2 linked regions of the Mytilus edulis genome follow. The protein of the gene in region 1 purifies or fractionates together with the protein of each later gene. This does not show direct contact. Links are inferred from orthologs where the notes say so. Each region holds a gene or a part of one and is shown in the gene's direction. Other genes may lie near its edges.

Region 1 (3,761 bases):
CGAAGTCCTCAAATGACCATATAAGCGATGTAAACACAAATATAGATACAAATAGATTTATCGAACTCGTGCAATTCGATTTTTCTAGGTCTGTTCAATTCATATCATAGATTAAAAATATATGTTTATCTTCATCGTTTTTGTCTGTATATTTTTTGTGGATCAAATCAGTCAATCAATCAATTGATTGTAAAAAAGAAGATGTGGTATGATTGCCAATGAGACAACTCTCCACAAGAGACCAAATATTACAGATATTAACAAATATAGGTCACCGTACGGCCTTCAACAATGACCGGCAAAGCCCATACCGCATAGTCAGCGATAAAATGCCCCGAAATGACAATTCAAACGAGAAAACTCGCGCGGCATAATTTATGTACAAAAAATGAACGAAAAACATAACACATATATAAACAAACGACAACCACTGAATTACAGGCCCCTGGTCGTCGGGACAGACACAAACATACAGAATGTGGAGGGGTTAGACATGTTAATGGGATCCCAATCCTCCCCTTACCTGGGACAGTAGTGTAACAGTACAACATAAAAAACGAACTATAAAAACCAGTTGAAAAGGCTTAACTCATCAGATGGATAAAAATCAGTACAAATAAGTATTACAAATACAAGTAGAAACCTTTGTTATCTTTCATGTTAACATTTTTTCCCTTTATAAAATAAATTTACAAGCAAAATTCATGCGTTATCCATCTTTTGCTAAGGGGTTAAATTGAAGTTTACATGAATACGGATTAAATGAGGTTGAATTATTCACTTGCAACTGAGTGAATAATTCATCATAGTGCCCCTTTAACCGCGAATAAAATAAAACAAAAACAATGTAAAAACAGTAAAAAAAAAAACTTAGATTAGAATAACACAGTAAGGTTATAGTTCTAGAAAAAAAATAAACAGAAATCAAAATCTACAAAACAAATGCCGATGTGGGCACTTTTCTACATTGGCTAGAAGGTATAGGGGGAGGGGGGGGATCTCATAAACATGTTTAACCCCGCCGCAATTTTGCGCCTGTCCCAAGTAAGGAGCCTTTGGCCTTTGTTAGTCTTGTATGATTTTTGATTTTAGTTTCTTGTGTATAATTCGGAGTTTAGTATGACGTCCATTATCACTGTACTAGTCATGATACATATTTTTAGGGGCCAGCTGAAGGACACCTACGGGTGCGGGAATTCTCGCTACATTGAAGACTGGTGGCCTTCGGCTGTTGTTTGCTCTATGCCGGGTTGTTGTCGCTTTGACACATTCCCCATTTCCTTTCTCAATTTTGGAGTTTGTTTGAGACTCCGAGATTTCACGCACATTGTTTGTAAATTAAAGTCTTCCATTTATTCATCAATAGACCAGCAAAATGGCTGCAACAACAAGAGAAGGTCCGTATACTATTTCCCCACTTCTCCCCTAGAAAACTTATATGAAACAACCTCAAATGTAGCAATATGACATTTTAATTAAATTTACATATAAGTAAACATCCACACACGTGGCTTTGTGTTGCAACGTATAATGGAACACATGTGTGTTAAAAGGTTCAAGATTTTATTTTCGAATTCTTGAATCTTGTCATACTACATTGTTCTTAGCAGTTCTTTTTCATAGTGGCTGTCTCGATCCATATCCAATACTATTTTAACTCATTGTGAATTAGAGAGAATCTTTACCTTCAGAAGATATGCTGCCCAACAGGGCTGATAACACGTTTCGGTCGCATAAGTTATAACCAGTTCAGCCATAGGTCATTTCGGCTGTAGAACTAGTTTTGCAATAGTCCATTCAGCCACACTAATTTTTCCATTAATACATGCATCATGTATGTTCTGAAAAGGAATATTATTTAAGTCATTTAGTTACAATAAGTTGAACAAGTGTAAAAAATTGCTTGTCTCCACCAGGACTCGAAACACAGGACCTTAGTCTTTAGTCTTTAGTAAGTGTCCCAAATGACACTGTAAACACTTGTGTACGTTTCCTCTTTTGTAGTTTCTTCACATATGTAATGTTTCAGTTTGTGTAACAAGGAAGCACTTATGGCTGACTAAATGTCTACCACATTTATGAACGAAAGCAATCCTGTCACACTTCCCCCACCTCAAGAGTCATCATACCATTATGACTCTCACACACATTCCCTAGCTAGAATGACTCTCTAACCACCTATATTATGTATAACATCATCATATCGGCACTAGTATAAGCACAAGAATACTATGAAAAGAAAAGGTGCCTTTGCAAGAGTATAACAACTACTGTGGAACTAAAAGCTATAACAAATGTAGTGCAAAGCAAATTTCAACTCATATCAAATTTTGATTATTAATTCCAACAGAATTAGGGTTAAATTAAAACATTTTAACCAGCCTGAAAAAAAACCCATGACTAGGCCTAAAATAAAATATTGTTTGTTTCCCCAATCCCAACCGACCCTGCAAAAACAGTGCTACTCATAAAATTTTATTGTCAAATTTAAGTCAAATATTATTTTATTCATTTCCTATTTTCAGGCTTGCAGGATCGTCCAATGTTGTTCAAGCTTTTTGGAAAAAATAAAATTATTTCCCTACCTTCCGACCCACACCTGGCTTGGCAGGGTCAGGATTGGGGAAACAAACAATATATTAATTTAGGCCCTAGTTATTAACGTTTTAATTTATGAAAAGAACTCAATCAACATAATCAATGTTGCATTGCAGTAGTAGTACATGTAAATGAAGAGAGATCTTAAAGATCATACCATTGAAGAAATTGATAACTTCAAGAATCAGTTAATTCAAATGACCAATGAGTCAGATATGAATTTTCTGGCTCTACTAAAGAAAGTTTTTAACAACCTTGACTGGCTACACAGCCCTTGCACGGTCAGAATTCTGGCTCCGTATTAATCCATATACTTGTAGAAATCAGAATGTGATATCCCTTTTCTAATAGGTATTCCACAGATACAACCAATTAAAAAAAAAAGATCTGTCTCTTTAAAATAATTAAGTAAAATAAGGGCATGAAGGGGATGTGGCATCATGGACATAGTTTCTTAAAGTTGAAAATTCAGCTTTTATTTAATTAAAATTTATATAAAAAAAAAGATGAAGTATGACTGCCAATGAGACAACTCTGCACCAGAGACTAAATGACATACAAAATTAACTACTTAGTGAAAAAATTAAAAAACTTAACTATGTTGAATTGCATCAAATAAAAAGGGGTAAGTCCAAGAAATCCCACTGACAATATGAACTATCCATTTAAAAACCCTACTCAAATATTAACATACAAATGATTCAAAATTAAAATGGAGATATTTATTTCAGAAATTGAAGAACAAGTACGAAATCTTCAACAAAAGAAAAAGAAGCTCCAAGATGGAGGGGCAGATGAAGAAGATGAGGCAAATAAAGTTGGTTTGGGAGCAGAAGGCCATTATGATACAGATATTTACAGTGCACATGGGAAGTTTGAAGGATATGTCACATCTATTGCTCCAAATGAAGAATTAGATGTAAGCAATATGTTTTTCTTCAAAAAAAGTTTTGATTTGAACATAAAGCAGTTTTATTGAAAGTTGGTTATGTGTTTTTTTATAATATAGGTAAGCTTTATAGAGCTTTTAACCTAACAAATACTCTTTAGTTTTTATTAATGAATTTACAGCTTTGTATGAATGTACATGTACACAATTTAAAAAGGATGATGGTAGAATATACTAAAGCAGATATCATATCAATTTTATGGTGATAAGGAAT
Region 2 (3,761 bases), on another chromosome or scaffold:
CGGTAACATGGAAATGTAACAATAATATTACAATTATTGTTACATTAGAGGCTAATTACCGGAATGCAGGGTTGGGTAAGGAACCGATTAATTACGAATGTAACAATAATATATGGGTCCACGGTTACATTGCGTTATTGTTATGTACTAGATAATAATAATTATATTGTTTTTCAAAAACTTTTTAAGTATTGATTGTTTTGATGTTGTTAAAGAAACTACTATAGTTTAATGGCACTAAATTGATGAATACTTAATGAACTAGCTGTTTAATAGAGCATTTATTTTCACCAAAAAGAACGAAACTACGATTACAAAATATCTGGAGTCTGAAAATGAAAACATTGTTTCCACCATTTTCAACCTGTCGGCGAATTTCAACATTAGTTGCTTTCACAGTTGACTTGTATTTAAACAACCTTTGACAAGCTTCCAACAAAATAATTGGTCGAAAATATAAAAATTTCAAGCGTAAAAAAAAATCACCTGCAGGATAGCAGACATTGAAAGTTTCTTTAACCTAAAAAAAGAAGAGGTGCAGAATGGAATGCAATACATGGAGCATGCACATTGTCGAATCACTTATTTGTGATGGCTGTTTAGAGGGGTTTCACAAAAAAAATGCGTCGGACTTAAAGGCTAAAACATACTAAATACAACAACATACTGGATTTGTAGAAACAGTCATTGTAAATAAAAAATTGAAATATTGTATGCATGCAATATTTAAATATCAAATACAACTTTTCAAGTTTCATTCTAATACTTATCACTATATATAGGCCCATCGTACATTAGAACTAGGGTACATCACAGTCTTTAATCACGGTAACAATAACGCAGGGTAACTGTAGACCGAAATATTATTGTTATATTCGTAATTAATCGGTTCCTTATCCAAACCTGCATTCCGGCAATTAGTCTCCAATGTAACCGTAGCCAGTGCCTTTCTTTTTCCCCCGGAAATTATCCGTCACCAAAAATTAAACCAGGTATTACTTTTTAAGGCAATCCCACAAACGTTTTGATTACGAAAAATGGCAGCCCCCATGTAAAAATTTAGTAGTGGCTGTTTATGTTTATTTCAGACGTATTTTGAGGAATTGAAATCCAGATAATTGGTAAAATTACAACAATTTGGCATAATCATAATGTAAATATTTAAGTTTTGACTCGAAAGTTTATTTGTTGTGCTAGCTGTTGTAGACCTTTAGTTATAAAGGTGGTCTAACTTAGTAACTAGTTGAGTTAGGGAAGATCCTCTTCTTTGGCTCAATTGGTTAGAGCGTTGCCTTAATATCCCAAGATTGAGGGTTCGAATCCCGTTGGTACCATCCATAGATTTTCATAACATAGCTTTTTGAAGGTTTTATTCCTTGTTTGAACAATTTATACCTTAATATAAATATAAAAATTTTAATATATACGGAGACGTTGGAGTGATTGCACTTTGTTAGTATTGTATAACTTACAATTTAAGTTCATTTATATGTTTTGGAGTTGAGTATGAGCTCAATTTTCACTGAACTAGCATACATTTTTGTTAACAGTGGAGTCCCCGGTGTCCGCGCCTCCCGTGATATCGCGCATTAGCTGATTTCGTCTTATATTTATATCAACACATTAAAACATACAAAATCATTCTTGTTATTGTTTTAGCCTTCCGAAGGGATAAAAAAGAATAAAATTGATAAGTTCAAGAATTAATAATAACTGCAATTCCGTGATTTACCACATTTGGTTAATTTCCATTTAAAAAGTTACATCATCAGATAAAATTTGTTATATTTAACCCTTTCCTCCATTATGACGCTTTTTGACGCCACCCCCTTTACTCCATAATGACGCCTTTTGACGTCTGTGTAGTACCTCAGTTGAAATGCTTTGACTACAAAATGTCTGCATCAGACTTTAAACAGTTTGTATCCAATATGAAAAGAATATTTATGAGAATATCTGACTTGAATTTCATTGATGAAATATTCGTTTTCACAATGCATAAATACTTTAAACCTGATGATTTTTTTTATTGAAAAAAATCCTTATGCGAATCAAGTTTGTGAAGAAAAAAAATCCATGGAGGAAAGGGTTAAGTCATATTAATATCAGATTGAAATAATTTTTGCTCTGCATCCTTGGAAGTGTGTTTGGTACAAACTCAGCTATATTTCGTAGTATAAAATCTTTTTTATTCCAAATAAGCTATTTTTTTGAAGGCATGCGCGAAATCACCAGACATTAAAGGAACTCTCAGAACAGGGGTTTCCCTAATTTTGGACACACATTACACAAAATCTAGAGGATGAAACCATACAAACAAAAGATTTTATGAAATAAAAGTATGTTATGAATGTGTTCATGAATGAACATGTATGAATGCGGATACTCCGGACTGCACCATACATGATTTAGCAGGATAGCTGAATCTGCCTCCAGGTGAGGATTTTCTCGTGATATTGAAGACCAATTGGTCAGGTGTTTATCAGCTGTTTTCTGCTCTTTGATCGGGTTGTTGTCACTTTGGTACATTATGATGATTCCCTATTCCATTCTCAATTGTATGTATAGTAATGCAATAAACATTTACACAAGTGACAATACTTTATATAATAGACATGGGGTAACACAAATGACAGAATAACACCATTATTATCTGAATAACACTTGTAATAACTAAATAACACTTGAAATTTTAGTATTAGCACATATTCATGATATTGGTGACTTTTAAACATTCATGATTGATTATCAAATAATATTACATTATAAGAGTATTTTATACATGTAACTTAAAAATGATTTACAGAAAACAGGTAAGTTCATAAAGATCTTTATAAAGTTTATATACATTTAGTGTGTACATGATCAGCCAACATGGCGACCAAGGATATCATAACGGTTGCCATGTTGGATTTACACACTATAGAAGAAGAAGATGCTTTATTTCCATCAAATGGGCTCACAAGGAGCATAATATAACATCATTATATATTTATTACACCTCGATCACCACATAAAAAAGGTTAATCAGTATAGTTCAGTTGGAATACTGAAAATTAGACATGTACATGTTCTAATAGATTTCAGTCATGCACATTTATATTTTTTGTATTTTAGTTCTAAGTTTTTGAGAAACAGTTAAACAAGATGTCTCTAGCAGATGAACTTCTAGCAGATTACGAAGAGGCAGGAGGGGAGGCAATAGAAGATGAAGCTGATATTGAAATGACTGATATTTCTGAAGTGGCTGAAGTCTCTGAAGAAGTTGACTTCTCAACAAAGGACTCTGTTAGATCTGTAGCAAAACTAAGGGATAGCCAAAAGGTATACAACTTTATATGATGACTGAAGCTCCTTAAAATCCACCCAATCAGCAGGCTACAATTTACTTCTTTGTTCTCAAAAACCACAAATGTAGTTTCAGTTTAAATCATTATTTAATATATGCCGTTAGCTACTATATATTACATTGAAATATTTGATAAGCATAGGAAACCAACTGACCTCAAATGAATTTTTATGTATGCACATATATAGCTGTTTCATAGTGTGGAGCTAAATAGGTTCAGTTCAAGTTAGGCATACATTGTAATGATTTTAAACATCCACAAATGCCTACCTTCTTGTTTCTATTTAACATATTTATTTATATCCCACATTTTGATATGATCTGACCTGAACAATTTGCTGTTAAAATCTGCCGGTACATGTAGAACCGTAGAAGCTACTTTGACATACTTATTTGACTGTAAGCAAATAAT

Evidence for each region. The genes of interacting proteins can lie anywhere in the genome.
Region 2: the proteins of splicing factor 3B subunit 1-like (region 1) and U4/U6 small nuclear ribonucleoprotein Prp31-like fractionate together in Homo sapiens (co-fractionation; 3 studies listed by BioGRID and IntAct, with this or other methods). This does not show direct contact. The link is inferred for Mytilus edulis from reciprocal best matches to the Homo sapiens genes SF3B1 and PRPF31.

Annotation. Positions count from the first base shown.
Region 1 is NC_092345.1:84,716,499-84,720,259, reverse strand, and holds the start of splicing factor 3B subunit 1-like, read left to right. Parts: upstream 1-1,269; 5' UTR 1,270-1,375; coding exon 1,376-1,397; intron 1,398-3,329; coding exon 3,330-3,517; intron 3,518-3,761. UniProt on the Homo sapiens protein: Component of the 17S U2 SnRNP complex of the spliceosome, a large ribonucleoprotein complex that removes introns from transcribed pre-mRNAs.
Region 2 is NC_092352.1:66,095,322-66,099,082, forward strand, and holds the start of U4/U6 small nuclear ribonucleoprotein Prp31-like, read left to right. Parts: upstream 1-991; 5' UTR 992-1,121; exon of another isoform or gene 1,122-1,153; intron 1,154-3,117; 5' UTR 3,118-3,147; coding exon 3,148-3,324; intron 3,325-3,761. UniProt on the Homo sapiens protein: Involved in pre-mRNA splicing as component of the spliceosome. Required for the assembly of the U4/U5/U6 tri-snRNP complex, one of the building blocks of the spliceosome.